2 linked regions of the Astyanax mexicanus genome follow. The protein of the gene in region 1 interacts with the protein of each later gene in a biochemical or structural test. Links are inferred from orthologs where the notes say so. Each region holds a gene or a part of one and is shown in the gene's direction. Other genes may lie near its edges.

Region 1 (10,549 bases):
TGGTTTTAGGTGGGAATGATCTCGGAGTGTTTCTGACATCATAGCTTTGCCACTTGTAGGTGGGAAGTGGAGAACCCTCTTCAGAGACACAGGTCAGGCTGATGTTTTGCCAATACTCAGCGGTTCCTTTAATTTTGCACACAGGGTCAGATGGGGCAACTGTGAACAGAAGCATACAAATCAGCACTACATTAGGCTCATATAATAGTGTAATAGATATAGATAATGTTAGAGAATATTTAGTATGTATATAAAAGAGTAGATGCATTAACATGCATATGCAATATTTAATATTACTGTTTAGAGTGTAAAATGAAGATTAAATGCATTTGGCCAAAATAAAACATTCAGGCTATTTGCACACATTATGAAGCTTGTTGTGTTGCTGCTCCTGCCTAAATAATTTATTTGACTACACTGCTATATATTTGAAATATTCTTAAACATCTTAATAAACTCCTTAAAACTACAGATAGTTTCTAGTTTTCCATTCCAATGTTATAACATTTGGAACATCTGCAAAACAGTAAAAAACATAAAGAATTTATTTGTCCTCCACAATTTTCCGACCTAAACCTGATTAACTGAGGCGATGACTTAGGATGAACTGGAGCACCTCAAGGAACTCCTTCAAGATGCTAAGAACTTTTGACTGAAATGCATATTAAGTTGAGCAGATTTCTGATTTGGGTTTGTAATTGTAATCCAGTACACAGCACATACGTTTTTAAAAATAGATGTGCCAAGAAGCAATATTTAAAATAATGAGTTAGAAAAGCAGTTTTTGCATTCTTGTTGTAAGTGAAATATGAGTTTAAAAATATTTCTCAAGTTTAAAGAACCTCCAAATAATGTAGGACTCTGTATTAACTTCCTAGAACCATCTATTTATTCAAGCCAAGAACCACTTGAAAACTATTTAGGAGCTGCCAGTGAAGTGTTGTAACAGTATGATGGGTTGGTGTGCTGTTTCAAAATGTGTAAATACTTCCTACTCCTACTTCCACTCTTTAGGTTGTGTATTTACTGAGGTTTAGAGATACCAGGCTATTGTGAGGTCAGAGATTTACAACTGTACTTTTCAATTCTACAACAGTTTAAAATGCGGTTTATGGCCCTGGTCCTGGAAGGCCCCTTGTCCTGCACACTGCACCAGTTTCCTCTGCTTTGACACGCCCACTTTACCTCAGTAAGAAATAAGGACTTGTTAATGAATTACATTGTTGGGTCAGGTGTGCTGGAAGCATTGATAGATAGGTATCTCCAAAACAGCTACTTTACAGGAGTGAGATAAAATCTACTTAACTTTAAATTAAAGTGAATGTAAAAATAGTTTATTTCAGGTCAATTTGGAGCATTTCTATTGGTCAATTTATTTTTAAGAAAGATTTTGACTTAATGTTTAAGAATATTGTGTTTGCAAATTGCCTTTGTGTTTGCCTTTATGTTGTCAAAATGCTTATGAACCACTCATTAACTAATTCAGAATAACTCATTTATCACTTGTGAAGATGATAATTGTTAGATTGTGAATTATGTTAAGACTATAATTTTGATTAAATAAATATTAATACATGTTAGTTTAGTTCGGCTTTAAATGAGTATTAAAAGTCATGTTGGCTGAATAAATAATAATTCACTAAACTATAATTTGCATTAAATTAATAGTAAAACTGTTAGAATGTTTTATAACAAATAAAACATTTAAGTGTTCGGCATTAATATATATTTCTTCTAATTAAAATTATTTTATTATGTGCATCTGATATATATATATATATATATATATATTTATTTTCCTTATGTAAATCCAATCTGACTTTCTAGGCCTTAATGAGGCTTTGTGGTGATGTCCAATGCATATATCATGTGATTACTTACGGCACAAAACTAATTTCTTCACATAAATACATTATAAATAATTTATAAAGTTGTAATGAAGTCTTCGCTTTCGGCCACTTTTACCCAATTTCAGTGCTGCTATTTTTCTTGTTTTTTCTTTTATGGGTATTCAAGGGTCAGATACGTCATGATGCATCAGTTGTGCCCTTCAAATCACTTCATTTCACTGCACTTTGCTGTATGTAAGGGCTCTACACTTTAAAACTGAGTTCCATTGTGTATCACAGAAACACTGCAGACCAACTCAGCTGCACCCTAGGCATTGGAACACATATCACATTTTAAACTGAAATTACTTTAATTATGATTAATTTATTCTCACCCAGAACCACAAGGGAAGTAGTGGCTGTAGTTTGGCCCACAGTATCTCCAGGAATATTAACTCGGCATTTGATTCGCCTGTTTTCTCTCAGGGTCGCTTGCTTCAGTGTCAGTGTAGAGACTCGAGTGTTCACATTGCTGTCAATCTGGATTTTGCCCTCATACATTGGATCAATGTCGACATGGTTGTCATTGGAGTAGAACGTCCCAAAATTAAGCTATATTGAAAGGGAGAAGAGATGCAGTTTTGTTATTTGCAAAGAACCTTTCTATAGTCATCTGTTTTCTAGGAAAACTCATCCAAATGTTTTTTTTTCACACTTACCCCTTCATCATCAAATGAGCCATCAGGGTCAGCAGTCCATGAGATGATAATGAGATTATTCACTGGGTTTTTGGGCTGAAAAGTGCATGTGATGGCAACTTGGTCACCTCGAGCAACTTTATATGTGGATTGTGGAATATTAACTTCCAACCCAAAAGAAGTAGAAATCACTACGGAGAAAGAAACCAAAAGAAACCACATGGCAGGTGTTTTATAACTTATTTTTTGTAAAAACACAGAGCAGGCAATGCCACACAACACAATACATTTCATTTCTCTTAAATGAAGGCCAAAGAACAACAGATCTACAAACAATGGACAGATAAGACAGAATGCATTCTAGTTTTTCCTATTCGTTTTTGACAATTCCTTCTCCAGATAACATCTATAACACCAGCCAGTATCCACCACTCTAAATGGAAATCCAATAGTCATTACATGCACCTTTAACACATAGCTAAAAAATTATTTCCTAAATACAGCTTTATAATGGCTTTCCATTTATTTATTCAGGTGTGTTTTATGGAACTTTGACATTTTACTACATTGTTAGAAAAAATGTTCTATAAATTGTAACACTTGCAAAACAATTTTTGGTGTTTTCCAAAAAAGTGTTCCATATTGTTACAAGATAGAGCTATATAAGGCCATGCTTGCTAACAGTATAGCCTTAAATAACATTCAAATGTATTTGTTAAAGAATCCTTAAACAACCCCAATTAGAAATAATACAGAACTTTTTGTAGCAAATTTTTAGTTGATATTCATATTAAAATGTATTAAAATCAAAGCAAAATTTGTTTTTAAAAAAGTCGTTTGGCCTATTTTGCCCTAGTACTTCCGCTCTTTACCTTTTGACCCACCCGATATTCAAAATGAATGAACATGATTATTTTTTTGGTTGATCTATGTGCTTTTTAAAACTTTCCTCTCTCTGTCTTTTTTTCTCAAATACATATATTTCCACTTCCATAACATATTCTGTATATTTTCGGTTATTTTTACATATTATTTACACATAAGGAAATGCTGCTTGTCCTTAACATTGTGTAAAGTGAAAGTGGTTAAAAATGGTCAAAAATAACTGAAAGAAAATATATTTTCATTGATGTAATACTGACTAATATATTTTAATGAAAACATAATTACTGAAATACTGCTGTCACATTTGAACAACAAAACCAAGAATTTTGTTGTTTAAAAAAAATTACATTCAATACCATATTCATTAATGATACAAAAAAATAATGTATTCTAATATTACCTGAAAACAGCACCCCAATCCCACAGATTCTCAGTTTCCGCTTGTCCATTCTGCTCTCTCTGGTCATTTTATTTCAGTCCTGTAACAGAATAAATACTTGACGGTTTGGTGTCTGCACACTTCCTTATGACTGCTGGGTCAATAGGTGTGACAAATAAAACGGCTCCATCTGCACACCCTCACCAGCCACACCTGTTCACCCTTTGGACTTTCAGTGAGCGTCCCTTTGAATTACTATAAAAACCACAGTACTGAAGTTGTTGTCTACTTTCTGAGCATAAGAATGAAATATAGCAAGAGTATAAGAGTTGTGCTCATGTACATAGAGCCAGGTTTGCCCTCAATGATGGATTCCATTGTCTTCAAACATTTAACAAATCCCAGAAAAGCAAATCATTTTAGCAACAATAAGTATCTGCAGGCTGTAATTACATTTGTAAGGTGCCCAAGCTTTGGCACAGACTTTAATTTGGTCATTGTATTACTGTATATAATAAATTAATAATAATTGTCATGAGAAAAAAGAAACTGTGTTTTATGTGTAACTTGCTGCAAAGGTTGCATTTACTATATATATATTTTAGTATACTTTATTTTTTTAGTTTCTTACTAAGTCATACACATTCATCTAGATATTCAAAGCTACACCTATTATTTTAAATTGCCTTTCTTTAAGGTCTTTATTTCTTACTAAAGACAGTGCATACTGTAAAGACAAAAAAAACATAAATATGCTTATATATGCTGTAAAGTCACTTTTCTACACTCACTTCTGCCAAGTTAAATATTTTCCAGTACTGTGTAGGCTAATGTTTGGCATGTGGAATAGTAATGAGCAGTGTATACTAATTAATATACACTGGGTAATGCTTGTTCGGTTGTCTGTAATCTGTTTATTCCCCCATATCCCCTATATAACAGTATTCAGGCTGCCTCATTGAGATACATTGTATTTTTCAGCAGTTTTTACCTCCAATTTCAGTCTAACACTCCTCATCAAGCCAAACAAGCCCTTCTGAAGAGATGAATGAGTTGGATCAGGTGGGGCATATTGAGGTTGGTGTTCTGAACGATGCATAAGCTGTTCTATCCAGCAGATGGCACTATATCATTGGTATCAATTATTATTATTTAGAAGTCTGAGCTAAGTCTAAAGTAATGAGTAAACTATGGAAATAAGTAAAATTGGTAAACTGAGCAATTAATCCAACCTTTTTTGGATAAACTCAAACCACTTGGATTTTAAAATTACATGTGCAATTGATTAAACAGCAAGAATAAATGTGGTTAAAAAAAAGGGTCAAAACAAAAGTCATAGGGACAGTGGACTCTTCAAAGCATTACTGACCATCAGTTAATTTTTACATTTCATTTGTAAATCAAGGGAGCAGAGTCTGGAGGAAGAGTGGAGACACACAGTCCAAGCTGCTTGAGATCTAGTGTGAAGTTTCCACCAATCAGTGATGGTTTGGAGAGACATGTCATATGCTGGTGTTGATCCACTGTGTTCTATCAAGTCCATAGTCAGTGCAGTTTTGTTTTCCCTCTTACAGCACTTTATACTTCCCTCTGCCGACAACTTTTATGATGCAGAGATGTAGATTTCATTTTCCAGCAGGACTTAGCATACTGCCCACACTGCCAAAAGTACCAATTGGTCTTATATAATATTTAAATTTTCTGAGACACTGATTTTTGGGTTTTCATTGGCTGTAAGCCATAATCATCAACAATAAAAGAAATAAACACTTAAAAGAATTTAACACTCTGTGTGTAATACATCTATATAATATATCAGTTTCAATGATATTCAAATATTTTGAGATGCACTAGTATGTTTTGGCCATTGGGTGGAGTTGAACTGTTGTGAACTCATCAGTTGCCTAAAGAATGGCATTTTACAGGAATGGTAAAGGTCAGGTTACACTATTGAAGACCAAAAACAGAAAACTTTCCACATTGTCTTTTTACAGGATTGCTGGACTGCAAAATACACTGCCTGGCCAAAAAATAAAAAAGTCGCCACCAAAAACTAATATTTAATTGGACCGCCTTTGGCTTTGGTTGCAGAATAAGAACACATTCATTGTTTTAATAAGATTCTGCAACATCACAAGATTTATTGAAATCCAGTGTCGCTGCATTAATTTTTCACCAAGATCTTGCAGTATTGATGATGGTAGAGTCTGACCGCTGCACAAAGCAGCTCTTCTCCATCCAGCACATCCCAAAGATTCTCAATGAGGTTAAGGTCTGGACTCTGTGGTGAACTCTCTCAATCCATGTGTAAAGAAAATTATGATCTCATGCTCCCTGAACCCTGAACTCTTTCACAAATCCAGCCCCATGAATCCTAGCATTGTCATCTCAGAATATGGCCGTGTTATCAATGAAGATGAAATCCATTGATGGAATAAGCTGGTCTATAATATTCAATATATTCAGGTAGTCAGCTTTCATTCTCATTCTTTCAGCACATACTGTTGTTGAACCTAAACCTGCAGAACAACTGCAGCATGAACCGCACATTTACATTGCATTCAGTAAACTTCTTTTATGGAGTGATGAGTATCCTGGTGTGTATGAGTGTGTGTGTGTGTGTGGAGGTTCATTCAGCATTCAGAGGTGTGTGAGAGAGTGTGAAGTTCACTGCCACTCTGTGTGTGTGTGTGTGTGTGTGTGTGTGTTGAATGGGGCGCTGCTGTTGCTGCTGCTGTTGGGCTGGGATCTGAGTTTAAATATTCAAAATGGCGGACGGAGGAGCAGCGAGTCAAGATGAGAGTTCAGGAGCAGGTAATCATTACTGCATTTTACATATTCATATTCATATTCAAACGCTCTTTCTCTCAAGCCCGTTAAGCGAGAGGGGAGCGCGTGAACAGAGCCCCCGGGGCCGCGGCGGCGGCGGGGTCGGGCTGTCTGTCGGCCGCTCGGTGCTGGGGAGCTGTCGGCGGTGTGAGGGGGAAAGTGGCGATGCTGGGCGACGGAGAATTAAAGGCGAAAATCCCCCTCTTTGTGTGATTAGAGCGGAGCTGCGCGACTTACATATTCATATTGCGGCCGGGAGAACGCGGTTTAGCATATTTTATTAGTAATCAGCGGCATCACAGCGGGTTAGTATTATTATTGTTATTTACTCCGGTCCCAGTCCGAGCCCGCGGTTGTGGGGTATTATCCCCCCGGTGTCGGGGCACAGAGAGAGGGAGAGAGAGGGAGCCGGGCGGCCGGTGTTCTGTCGAGTTGTGCTACCCTGGCAAACCATGCTACTCTAGTGTAATTATATTTAAACGTAAAAATGCAAGAAAAAGACCCCCCAAAAAAATGCCTCGCTTGGAAAGCTTGAATCAGCATATAAGGACACAGTTTAAAGTTAACGTTAAGTTAATAGGGGTGATATGCATAACCAGTAACGTATTTTTGTATTTAATGTTATATTTAATAGTTTTTTATTATTATTCTTTTTATTATTATCAACTTTTTATTATTATCCTCATTTACACAGTTGTAATACTCTATACTAATACTGGCAGGTGCGTCTGGTTGTTTAACACACCCAGTTAGAACAGAATTGCTATTAAAAACATACAAATAAAAATAAAAAAGTGGTTCCACGCATGCGCACTGGTGTTGAGAAGCACATTTCGATGAATAGCACAACTTGGCAGGACACCGGCGCTACGCTAACGCTAAGGCTAATGCTAATGCTAATACGGCGGCTTTGTGTGTTTGTGTATTGTGTGCTGGGAGCCTATGGCTGATAAAAGCTTTGCATATTCATTTCCTCGCAATCGCTCGGCGTCTGCGCGCAGTGTTTACAACCGTAAATGTGATCTGCCGAGCGGCGGAGGGCTGCTCGGTGCGGGCTGAAGGACAGGGGAGCTTCTAAGGCTGATTTTATGTCCATATTTTGTCTTCTGCCTTTGTGTCCCACTGCAGCAGGAGAAGCAGGCGTGTGGCCCCGTTGTGTGTATATAGCTATATGTGTGTGTTAGCTAACCTAGCTTAGCTAACTAGCTATTCATGTGGGCCTGTTGTTGTTGGCTGTTACGTTAAAGACAACAGATGTGCAGACACTTAAATTAATTTAGCTTAAAGAAAAAGGCCTGCATTTATCGTAAACCTGTCTTTCAAAGGCCTTACAATTTCATCGACAGTAAACACTACTTAGGATTCATTTTGTCTAGTTATATTTCGCAGTTTTTCTATTTGATATGCAAGTTAGCTAAGTTATCTTACTTATTTAGTTAGTTAGTAGCTAATAACTGAACTATCTTTTTATATTAAGGGTTATTAAGCCTAAATGTAATGAAAACTGGTTACAAAGCCCCAGTTTTGCACCGAACCTTGTTTAATTGTATTACCTAGGTTATATGAACTTCCAGTCCCATTTTTGTTTGTGCAGCAGTGTGAACCTAGCCAACTAGTTAATTAACAAACTAATATTTAATATATTGGTCATCAATAAATGCAGGAAAGACTTATTATAAAGGCTGAAACGAATGTCTAGTAATTTTGGGGTTGTGAAAGTGGTCTTAATTTCGTCTTTGATTTTATTCCCCCATACCTGCAGATAAGGGGTGGGCAATATTATATCGTATGCAATATATCGTGACACAGAAATAACATATGAAAAATCCATATCGTGATAATAGGGCTGTTCTGTCTTAAAAGTAGTCTATTATTTACTGTGAAGCGTTAGGTGTATTATTGTATATTTGTTTTAGTTTGCAGTTTATATGCATGCACTAAATATTCTGCAGTATTATTTGCTGCATAATATGTTCTTGTGCACTGGTAAGCTTATCTGGCTACAAGACCCATTTTTGTTTGTGCAGCACTGAATTAACTAGTTAACCTATTTTTTTAGACATTGGTTTATCAGATGATGCAGGGAAATATTATTATAAAGGTTGTAAACTAATGTGAGGCATACTAATGCTGGGTTTGTTAAAGTGGTCTTAATTTTCTCTGTGTTAAAAAGTCCAAATTCTTTAATTTCTTTCCCCCATACCTGCAGATAACATGTAGTTAGAGCAGATAAAGACTACAGAGCAGATACTGTTCAGAATATTCACACTGAATAACTAGCTAAATCCCACAATGACACACTCCCAGATTAGCTATTTATCTATCTATGCCTAAACAGCTAGAATAACAGCTAACTACATTGGCTAGCCTCTCTTGTCTCTCTTTGTGTTGGTGGATATTCACCTTTTAAAAACAATTGTAACACTACATTGTTTACACCAGGCCAAGCTAGTAGAGCCAAATTAAAAGGTGGGCTAAATAGGTTGTAGCTAGCTTAGCCCATTTCATGGGTATGTATACAGCTGACTAAACAGTTCATTGAGTTTTCTGCAGGCGTTTTAGCCAATATCTGGAGTAGGTTATGCTGCCAGTGAGCTGGGCTCTATTGCCCTATTGTAGCCGGGCAGCTGTTGCTGCTGCTGCATATGTAGCAGGCCAGCTAGCGGCTGAATGAATTTCATTAACTTAGGCCTGAGCAGCCTGGACAAGAGGCAAGCAGTCCACTCGCTTCAGTTTCACGCTTGTTTCTTGCTGATACAGCAATATACAGGCCTTTTTTGACTCCCTATATCCTATCCTTTTTTCCTTAAATTCTACATTTTCAGGCACCAAAATTAAACTAATACACAAATGCATTTAAGATGGACTGTTAAGTGAGCTAACTAAGCCAAATTTAGCTTTACAAGCACATTCAAGTCTTGTAGCCAAGTTTGTAAAACGTTTGCTGTATGTGTTTTACTTCCATAACATAGATTACAATTTTATTCAAAAACCCAAACAAAATACATTAACATGAATTAATTCATCGCTGTTTTACATTTTACAAGCCTCTTTATACTTATAAATGCTTATTGTATTTGAGTATCATCTGAGGGTTTTTCTTTCTTTTATTATTTATTTATTATTATTTTTTTTTTACATTTTGCTGTCTTCTCTTTTTTTGCCCCACATTTCACATCTCGCCATCATTTTAATATCCTTGGTGTTGTAGCCTAGCATGGACATTTGGCTGATTTATTGTAACAGTTCACTGACTTTTGCCTCTTTCTCTTTCTTTTCTCTTTTCTCATGTTTTTAAAGTGTGTCTGTTGCTCTCCTGTAGCTGCATGGGGGAGGTGTTGGTTTGCGATTAAAGAATGCATAGGCTTAGGCCCATTAGCCTAGGGCCTCATTAGAAAGTCTAATGGGACGTGCCAGGAAAAAAAAAAGAGAGCCGCTGTCCCGAAGGTAACGCGTAGACCTGCTCTGCTCAGAAAGATGTTCTTTTATGTTTGTATCGAGCCCGGCCTGTGAGAAGCTGTGGCAAGCTGAAACACGTCTGTGTGTTGCGTTAATAACTTATTGCTGTGCATGAACAACTGAGGTGGATTTCAGTCATGTTTTTGTTGCATGTAACTGGGGAGGGAGTGTTTCAAAGCTGCCTGTAAGAGCTGAAAACAAGTGGCAGCCCCATTACTGAATGATCTGAAAGACTCAAACAAAAGCCTCCCAAAATTAATAGACTGAGGGATGAATGAAACCAATACCCAGGAACACAGCAGCAAATCTAGCTTTTATCAGTGAGAAATAGCAGCATAGCTGTGTGTAGTTTTAGAAACTGTGGTACTGTATTGTATTACAGTATTTTAGTACATTAGTTCATGTTTTGACACAACAAACATGCTTTAGTGGCCATACTTAGTACCATTCAGTGATTTTTATTTACATTG
Region 2 (10,230 bases), on another chromosome or scaffold:
TCAAAGAGCTAATACTCTCCTAACACCTCTAACTAACTACCTTCTACTACCAGATCAGGAGAATCTCTCGCTATCTTTAAGAGACCCCTGAAGACAGAGCTCTTCAAAGAGCTAATACTCTCCTAACACCTCTAACTAACTACCTTCTACTACCAGATCAGGAGAATCTCTCACTATCTTTAATAAACTCCTGAAGACAGAGCTCTTCAAAGAGCACTTACTCTCCTAACACCTCTAACTAACTACCTTCTACTACCAGATCAGGAGAATCTCTCACTATCTTTAATAAACTCCTGAAGACAGAGCTCTTCAAAGAGCACTTACTCTACTAACACCTCTAACTAACTAACTACTTCTAACCTCATTTCCTTCTTCCCCTCCTTCACTCCTCTATCCAATTATTCCCCTTTGACCTCCTTTTATCCCTATCCAAAGATGTTTTTACCTTTAAACTTATTTTACATTGTACTTGACTATTGTAAGTCGCTTTGGACAAAAGCGTCTGCCAAATGTAATGTAATGTAATGTAATATATTACACACAGAGTGATCTACGTATGGCTTACAGCCAATGAAAACCCCAACATCTGTGTCTTAGAAAATATGAATATTATATGAAACCAACTGGTACTGTGTGCCAAGTCCTGCTGGAAAATGAAATCCACGTCTCCATAAAAGTTGTTTTCAGCAGAGAGAAGCATGAAGTGCTGTAAGATTTTGTGGGAAAACAAAACTGCACTGACTTTAGACTTGATAATAAAGACTTGGAGAGACATTTCATCTGCTGGTGTCGGGTTTTCAACTATAAAATAAACACATGCTTAACATAGATCTGTGTTCACATTTTTAATGGAATTACTGATATAAAGCAACTTTTCAATGATATTTTCAATATAATATTTTGACATGCACTAGTATGTTGTGTATGCATCATCCACACTCCTTTCCTCACTGAGGAAAAGCTTCACAGCTGGGATTGGGATCGTTGAGAAATAGGCAGTATTGGGTTTGCGCCCTGCAGCATTTCAAATCTTCTTGTCTCATTTGTCCTGAACATCTCATCCCTGGGTCACTTTTTAAATACTGAAGAACTTTACATGGAATTATGTTTTCTTTGCTTGATGTATGTCAGTAGATTAACCTTTCTAAAACAGATTAACTTGGCTTTTTTATTTGTGTTTCCCATTACCACAGGATGAACAGTTAAGGGATACATATGGAATTATGTAGTAAACAGTATAAAAAGTGTTAATCCTCCACATTAATCCCCTGATCTAAACCTGATCAAATAAAATAGTGATCTGGGATGAGCGGGAACTTGCCAAGATGCCAATATGCATGAAAACTGTGATTAAAAACCAGGGTTATTCCCTCAAATGAATAAAAACATTGAATAACAAGGTGTGTCCAAAATTGGCCTGGTGCTGTAATAAAAGTCTCAACTAAAAACTATGAATAATGATCAGAATTTTAATAATACAGTAAATTTCCTTCATATTCCAACACATTGCAGTATAACATGTTCTACACAGTATTTAAAGATAGACCAACAAAGTAACTGCGTGTATTTTTTACATTATTGATTATGTGGTGCTTAAAATAATGTAAACAGGATAAACAGTTAAGGAGTACATATGGAATTACATATTAAACAGTAAAAAAAAGTGTTAATCCTCCACATTAATCCCCTGATCTAAACCTGATCAACTGAGATAGTGATTTGGGATGAGCTGGAGCCCGCCAACATGCCAATATGCATGAAAACCGTGATTAAAAAACCAGAGTTATTCCCTCAAATAAATAAAAACATTGAATGACAAAGTGTGTCCAAAAATTGGCCTGGTGCTGTAATAAAAGTCTCAATAAGAATATTGATCAGAAATTTGATTAATTAGGAAAAATAAGCTATGTGATACAAATACAGTTCATTTCCTTCATATTCCAACACACTGCAGTATACCATGTTATAACACAGCATTTAAAAATAGACCAACAAAGTAACTGCGTGTATTTTTGACATGAATGACTACAGGTATGTGGTGCTTAAAATATGCCAATTTGCATGAAAACTGTGATTAAAAACCAGAGTTATTCCATCAAATAAATAAAAACATTGAATGACAAGGTGTGGCCAAAAATTGGCCTGGTACTGTAATAAAAGTCTTAACTAAAACACTATAAATAATTATCAGAATTTTGATCAATTAGGACAAATAGGCCGTTATAAATACAGTACATTTCCTTCATATTCCAACATATTGCAATGCACCATGTTTTACACAGTATTTAAAGATATGCCGCGTGTATTTTTGACATTAATGATTATGTGTCACTTTAAATAATGTGTGTTCACACTTCACTTCTAGATGACATGTTTTAAGTGATCTCTGCAACACTTCTGCTGGCAGATTCCTCCCAGCCCTGATCCCCGAGGGCAGCCTGAAGGGGCTTTCACTGCTTAATCTCTGTCTAATCTTCTAAAGCCATATATTACCTGCACCTACACTGCTGTGCTGCTTTGGTCAGACGCAGCTCCAGACTGCAGAATGTGAAATCCTCACCCTGAACAGCACAGGCAGTGAGTTCCCGCGTGGAGGGCCAGCTGCGTGTGAGCACTTGTGAGCACTTGTGACCAGGAACTGTGTCTCTTCTCTGAACAATGTGACACTCTTTACTGGTGGCTCCAGGCGTAAAGCTGGAAAATGATAGGTTTATGATAACGTACAGCTGCATTAAAGGTCAGGGGGTTGAGTGTGGGTCACTGGGTGCTTGACCTTATTGTTTGTGGGTCGTTTAGTAATGGTAGTGAATGTACTGGACGCTACCCTGAAGGGAGTAAACAGTATATCACAGGTAGTGTTGTGACAAGATAACTGTGCACGTTGCACTTTGATGGATTGCTTTGACGTCTTACTTTGTATCCACTGAGGCCTATGGAAATTGCATCAGTTGCATCTTTTTGCATCAAGCCACCGCTGTAGTTTGCATTAGACAATGCTTGTTTAAATGCATCAGTTTTTTAGGAAGCTACAGTAGTGTATTTTTCATTTTGTATTGAGCGCCATGGAGAAAGGCTGTTCTACCGTAACCATAACCTGATATAGATGCAGTAAGTTCTGTATTTCCTTACTTTTCTCTGTTCATTATTATTGTTCTCTGTTAATTGTTAAGGGTAACCCAGTGGAAATGACCATGGAATACAAAGAGCAATGCTAATTATTAGAAAGTGGTTTGTTCTGATGTAACAATATATATATATATATATATATATGATTAATGGCTCAATTAACAATAAATTTAAATGTAACCATTAACAGGCCAGGACTTTTGGCAATTGTCTGCTTGACGTTACACCACTAAATCTTGAGGATTTCTATTCAAGCATTACATAAAAAGCTTTCATGTTTGATAAGAAACATTACTGGAAATCATAATTGTAATTGAAACAAAAAATAAAAAAATATATTTAAGTAAATCTACTAATGTCAAAATAATGAAGTTTCCTGTTTCATTTTAAAATCAGTATTTTCCTGAATACAAATCAAACAGTTTACATCCTCCAAACCTTTAATTTCATTATATTTGTCTAGTTTTTTCGTCTGTTTCAAACCTGAAACCGGAATCATTAAGTGGAGTAGAGAGAAAACAGGCAGCTTCTCCAAGTGTCCTGTAGGAGATTTAAAAACCCTCAATTTTTTTAGAGTGTAAATTATTATTTAGTAATTTTACTGCAGAAAAAAGTATTCTGTATCACCTACACCTGTAGCCTGTATGCAGGACACGGCATGTTAAGGGGTTAAGTGATAAATGTACTATGCTGGATGCTGTGTCAATACTGTCTTGTTCCTGGTCTTGATCGTCTGTTATTTTGCTCTTTTTAAGCCGGGCCTTGGGTTTGTTGGTGCTAAATTAAAATTGAGAAGAGCTGGGACAGGAAACACGGTGATGATCAGATGGTCAGTGAACCTTAAACTCTGAGCAGGTGCTTCCTTTTCGATACTGATAAATCCACTGGCCTGGCAGTTTCAGCTCAGCTCCAAAACTCTCACAAACGTAATTTGGGCAGCAGATTCAAACAACTCATGATCATTTTAAATCATACAATATGTTAAATAGATTTCCATGTTCTCAACTTCTATAAAAAAGTTGGGATACTCTGAAAAATGTGTAAAATGAATGTGAATAATAACAAACTGCAATGAATCGTAATTCTCATAGACCCACACTTCATTCAGAGTATAACATAAACACAAATCAGATATCAGTTTAAAGTGAGACATTTTATACTTTTTCCATTTCTTGAAAAGCATTGACTCATTTAGAAATGAAAAAAAATTAAAAAACCCAAAAATCAGTGTCTCAGAAAATTTACTTTTGGCAGTGTGGGCAGTGTGCCAAGTCCTGCTGGAAAATAAAATCCGCATCTCCATAAAAGTTGTTTTGAGCAGAGGGAAGCATGAAGTGCTGTAAGATTTTGACTTTAGACTTGATAATAAAACACAGTGGATCAACACCAGCAGATGACATGTCTCCCTCTGTCCAAACCATCACTGATTGGTGGAAACTTCACACTAGACCTCGAGCAGCTTGGACTGTGTGTCTCTCCACTCTTCCTCCAGACTCTGCTCCCTTCGTTTAAAAATGAAATGTAAAATTTACTGATGATCAGTGATGGTTTGGAGACACTGTTTTTTGGGGGTTTTCATTGTCTGTAAGCCATAATCATAATCATCAACAATGAAAGAAAAAACACTTAAAATAGATCACTGTGTTTAATACATCTATATAATATATGAGTTTCACATTTTGAACCTGAGGTCTAGTGTGAAGTTTTTTTCACAATCAGTGATGGTTTGGAGAGACATGTCTGTCATCTGCTGGTGTTGATCCACTGTGTTAAATCAAGTCCAATGGTGCCATGGTGGCAGTAGCCACAGCACTGCCCAGCTTTACTACTGCTGTCACTTCTTATTCAGTAGATAAATCAAATCACTGTGATAGACCTGCTTACAACTGGTCTGGATAAAAAACATTTCAGATTTCCTAAAGCTAGAATACTGTGTAAGTTCTTGAGTCCTTATTAAAATTAAACAATGTTGAGTTTGGTCTGAATGCTGTAATGTGTTTAATGTTACGCTAAAGATCTCAGCACTCTTAAAAAAGGACAGCACAAGACATTTAAATTAAGTGGGAAACTGGTGCTTCTGCATCTTGGTGACATCACTTGAAACTGCATTGCTGCAGCTTTTATAAAGCAGCTCACTCAAGCAATCGATGCTGAATTCTGAGGCGAGCGTGCGCACATTCGGAAAGAAAATCTGAATGCTTACACAATAACCAAATCTTTTTTTGTTTTTTGCAAATCAGAGTATGCACATGGGAAAATGTAAGTACAATTTATGATTACATATTTACTGCAAAAGAGAAAAGATTAAATGCAAATTTTGGGCAGTTTTAAAACACTTTTTAAAGCCAAAAAACTTAAAAATAGGTAAATATGTTTATTTATTCTACAAAAGTACATTTAAACAAAATATTGAGATATAAAGGCATATTTTTAGCTAAAGAAAAATTCACACTGTTTTAATTTCTTATTATATATCTACTAGAGACAGATTATATCTGTCCAGTATCATTTATTTTACTTTAATACTTTAATCCTGGATATATGGAGATATTTGGAGTGCATTATTATTAGTATCGTGACATTCTGGATCAAAATTCTGGTAAAATTCTTGTATTTTTTCTTGTATTTTTTAATATCTCAGTTAGGGGTGTGCCACATCATATCGTATGCAATTATTTATTTAAATTTTCATTTTGTTGCAGAAGTGTATTCTTGAAATTTAATTCAGTGTTTTTCAGTTTTGGTGTTATATGGCCAAGAGTATCATTATCGTGAAAACAGCATTAAAAATAATGTTGATAATGTGTTAAAGCACTTCAGAATTTGGTATTTCATAAACAATTCTATTTAAAAATGACATGGGTTATGTAAATGAATCTAAAATCTTGGTGCAGGTTTGATTGGTTAGACACCAAATCTAACCAATATAGGTTCTTGATCTTGATGTTAATTTTTAATATTCAAAAATTCATTAAAGCTTTGTAGCTATTGGTGGCATCGTGCCGGACACAATTCTATATACTTAATTTTACTTTTTATTTTATTATAGAAATTTAGTTTGCAAATTTTTGAACACTGATTGCAAACATTTGATATTTAGTATAAACAGTGATGGGAATAACGGCGTTGAAATAAATGGGGACAAGTAACACAAAAGTAACGCAATAGTTACTTTTACTGGTAACTAGTTACTTTTATAGTGGAGTAACTTAGTTACTTTTTGGGAGAAGTAACTAGTAACTGTAATTAATTACTTTTTCAAAGTATTGTGCCCAACACTGAGTATAAAGGAGAATTTCTGACTTGAACAACCAATGATTTATGAAGAAAAATTATGAAAATGATCAGAAAAGCCCAACATTTTTCATATCACTGTTTTTTATCACTTTATTAAAACATTCCATAACCAGTTTTTTTTTTTTTAGCCCATATTCATTTCATTGCTTGTTCCTACAGCACCCAGATGGTCAGCTGGTGCTGCTTGTTTTATTTCCAGCAGTAATAATTAACCCTGTGCAGTTGTGGAAGTGGTTATATTCAGTTTGTCTGGATCACGCAGGCGTGGTAATGCGCCGTGTTTTATTGTGGTGTGATAATAAAACCGTGAGTAGTGATGAGCTTATCGTTTGAGAGTCCTCTCGCTCTCGGCGGAGGTGTTAAACACCCTGCAGAGCAGTCCTGCTCTGGAGGGGTGAGGGGTGGATGGGGGGAGGTTGGTGGTTTAATCTTGGTATGCAAAACAGCACAATTGTCTCTCTTCTGCATAAAAAAAAGAAGTCTTCACAGCTGCAGAGCTTCCTCTTTTTGAACCCCCTGAAATCCTGCTGTGCTTGTATTGTGCCGCCAGACTGCAGTTATTCAGAGCTACTGTTGACCCACAACTTACAGAGCTTTAGTTTGGTGGTTTGCTTGTTTTTTAAGGTGACTGGATTTAAAAACGTTAAATTACATGTATTATTTTTTGTGATTTCCAAGGCAGTTCTGCGCTCAACTGTGATTTCCACCATGATTTCTTCATAGAAATGCACAACCACAAATCAAAAATGAAAAAAATATATATAATAATCTATTAACATGCATGGACCCATATAAGAGCTACAGGTGTCTGCAGTAAAATAATTTAAAATATTTACACTCTAAAACTTTACGGGCTGCTATTCTAACTTTAAATCTCCTTCAGGACACTTGAAGAAGCTGCCTTCATTAATAATTCCAGATCAGTAACAGGAGTCAACACAAATTCTGCATGTTTGAAAATAGACATAAAAAAACGAAAGTAAAGGTTTGGAGACATAAACTGTTTGATTTGTGTTCATTTAAAAAAATATATTGATTTTAAAATTAAGTTCAAGAAAGAGCCAATTAAAAAAAAAAGGTTTTGTTCTTAAGGGCTTTATTTTTTTCTCTTACATTACTTTTACTTTTATACTTTTAAGTAGTTTTGAATCCAGTACTTTTTTAAACACTTTTACTTAAAGAGTAAAAAGCTTGAGTTGATACTTCTTCAACTTCTACAGAAGTATTTTAAACCCCAGTATCTATACTTTTGGCTTATTTTGTCACTGACTGAATTCTTCCACCATTCCAAATTTATTGCAACCATCCTAATATACACATACATTAGGGGTGTCACGATTCCGATACTTTCGATACGCGGACATTGTGACTGCTCAAAGAGCTGCCCTTTCTCCAGAGAATGTGGACATTCTCATCTTCTTAAAGAAAAACTTGAACATATAAAAATAACAGTTGTTTTGTCTAGCCTCAAATATGTTAATAGTTTTGGTACCTTAAGGAGCATCTTTCTCTCAGATAAAGTTAATAATATATCTTTATTAAAGAAAAAAACTTGTCATTCTCAGGGACCGAAAAAGTCTTAAAGTCTTATTTTTAATGTTTAACTGTTATAGTAGGATAGAGTTCAGTTTGTTAAGGCTCTAATTGTTCTATTATTTTGTACATGACTGTTCCTGTATGTTTTTATTATTTATTTTGTTATGTTGCACATTGCTGTTTTAATAGTGCACACTGCTGCTACCAAAAAAAGCCACTAGATGGCATTACATATATATCTTAATTAAATTATTTAAATTTGAGCATTAGTGCCTAATGTGGTGTATTACAGATCACTTGAATCACTTTGCATCACTTATATCAAGCCCACCTTTTAAAATAAGATATTGTAAATTGGATGAATCAAACCAATGACTGACCATAGACTAATCTAAAACTAGCATAGGCCTCTCTGCTGTTAGAAAAAGAAAAAAGAAAAATCGAGAATTTAATCGAATCGTGATCTTAAAATCGGAAATAAAATCGAATCGAGGATTTAGAGAATCGTCACAACCCTAATATACACGCACAACCACAAATCAAAAAAGCCAATTTAGGAAAAATGCACAGTGTTTCTTACATTTCATTTGGCTTTTATTTAAGTGCAGACAATAATAACCCAAGATATTATATTGTTGTGTGTTATGTTGTAGTGTTTAACACAGCTTTACTAAAGCAATCCCTTGCCCATGTGGTTCTATCAGCAAGAGGAGGTAACAGGGATTCTTAGGCTTAGACTTCCCAATTCCTTGAATAGTTTAATGATATTAAGGGATGTATAGGGAAAAATACATACATCTCTTCAAATCATTATTTAAGGTTCCTTAAACTCTTTTGTGGATACTGCTTTTGCACCAAATCAAATGAATGTCCTCTATATCAACTTTTTATGAAATTTAATCGCAGAATTCTGGAATGGATGTACAGTTCTGTAAAAAAAAATTGAGACCACTTAAAATGATGAGTTTCTTTGATTTTACCAAATTGAAAACCTCTGGAATATAATCAAGAGGAAGATATATGATCACAAGCCATCAAACCAAACTGAACTGCCTGAATTTTTACACCAGGAGTAAAGCAGCATAAAGTTATCCAAAAGCAGTGTGTAAGACTGGTGGAGGAGAACATGATGCCAAGATGCATGAAAAAAAAAACTGTGATTAAAAACCAGGGTTATTCCACCAAATATTGATTTCTGAACTCTTAAAACTCTTTAAGAATATGATCTTGTTTTCTTTGCATTATTTGAGGTCTGAAGGCTCTGCATCTTTTTTGTTATTTCAGCCATTTCTCATTTTCTGCAAATAAATGCTCTAAATGAGAATATTTTTACTTGTAATTTGGGAGAATTGTTGTCTGTAGTTTATAGAATAAAATGTTCATTTTACTCAAAGATAAACCTATAAATAACAAAATCAATCAGAGAAACTGATTCAGAAACTGAAGTGCTCTCTTCATTTTTATCCAGAGTTTTCTTTTACTTATTTTTTATATTTGTGTTTTTCATGCTGTCCCAAACTTCTGGGTGTTAGTCTAAAAGTGCTATAGCACACTTAAAGTGTAGGAGTGGGAGATAGGAGAAGGTTGTGTTGAGTTTGTTTATTTTTCCTGGTCGGTTATTAAGTGATTTATGCAGTTTTTCTGTGTGGTCTGAACTCTTACTGAAATTCCTTCAGTTTCATTAGAGAGAAAGATAAGCAGTGGTCTTGCCTTGTGCACTACCTATTAAGTCAGTGATGGATGTTCAGTCAGTGCAATAACAAGATTTTCTACAGAAATTCAGTTTAATAATACTGTATATACATGGCAAAAAAATATATATTTACAAAAACAAGAAAAATGCATTTAAACATTGAGAAATATGTGCTTATACACACTAAAAAAACAGCTTGGTACCATTTAATCAGTCAAAAGGTACATACGTATCACACATATCACAATTCTGTATCACTGTGCTAATAAACAATATACAGCTCTGGAAAAATTAAGAGAGCACTTCAGTTTCTGAATCAGTTTCTCTGATTTTCTTATTTATAGGTTTATGTTTGAGTAAATTAACATTGTTGTTTTATTCTATAAACTACAGACAACATTTCTCCCAAATTCTAAATAAAAATATTGTCATTTAGAGCATTTATTTGCAGAAAATGAGAAATGGCTCAAAAAAACAAACAAACAAAAAAACAGATGCAGAGCTTTCAGACCTCAAATAATGCAAAAAAAAAGTTCATATTTATAAAGTTTTAAGAGTTCAGAAATCAATATTTATTG

The links.
Region 2: the proteins of pou2f1b (region 1) and POU domain class 2-associating factor 1 are reported together in a solved structure, tested with the Homo sapiens proteins (2 studies listed by BioGRID, with this or other methods). The link is inferred for Astyanax mexicanus from reciprocal best matches to the Homo sapiens genes POU2F1 and POU2AF1.

The regions. Positions count from the first base shown.
Region 1 is NC_064418.1:5,046,658-5,057,206, reverse strand, and holds the start of pou2f1b (POU domain, class 2, transcription factor 1b), read left to right. Parts: upstream 1-6,495; 5' UTR 6,496-6,559; coding exon 6,560-6,605; intron 6,606-10,549. Other genes in the region: gpa33b (cell surface A33 antigen), read right to left, coding at 1-159, 2,225-2,441, 2,549-2,718, 3,813-3,879. UniProt on the Homo sapiens protein: Transcription factor that binds to the octamer motif (5'-ATTTGCAT-3') and activates the promoters of the genes for some small nuclear RNAs (snRNA) and of genes such as those for histone H2B and immunoglobulins.
Region 2 is NC_064425.1:6,054,218-6,064,447, forward strand, and holds the start of POU domain class 2-associating factor 1, read left to right. Parts: upstream 1-5,241; 5' UTR 5,242-5,369; coding exon 5,370-5,385; intron 5,386-10,230. UniProt on the Homo sapiens protein: Transcriptional coactivator that specifically associates with either POU2F1/OCT1 or POU2F2/OCT2. It boosts the POU2F1/OCT1 mediated promoter activity and to a lesser extent, that of POU2F2/OCT2. It recognizes the POU domains of POU2F1/OCT1 and POU2F2/OCT2.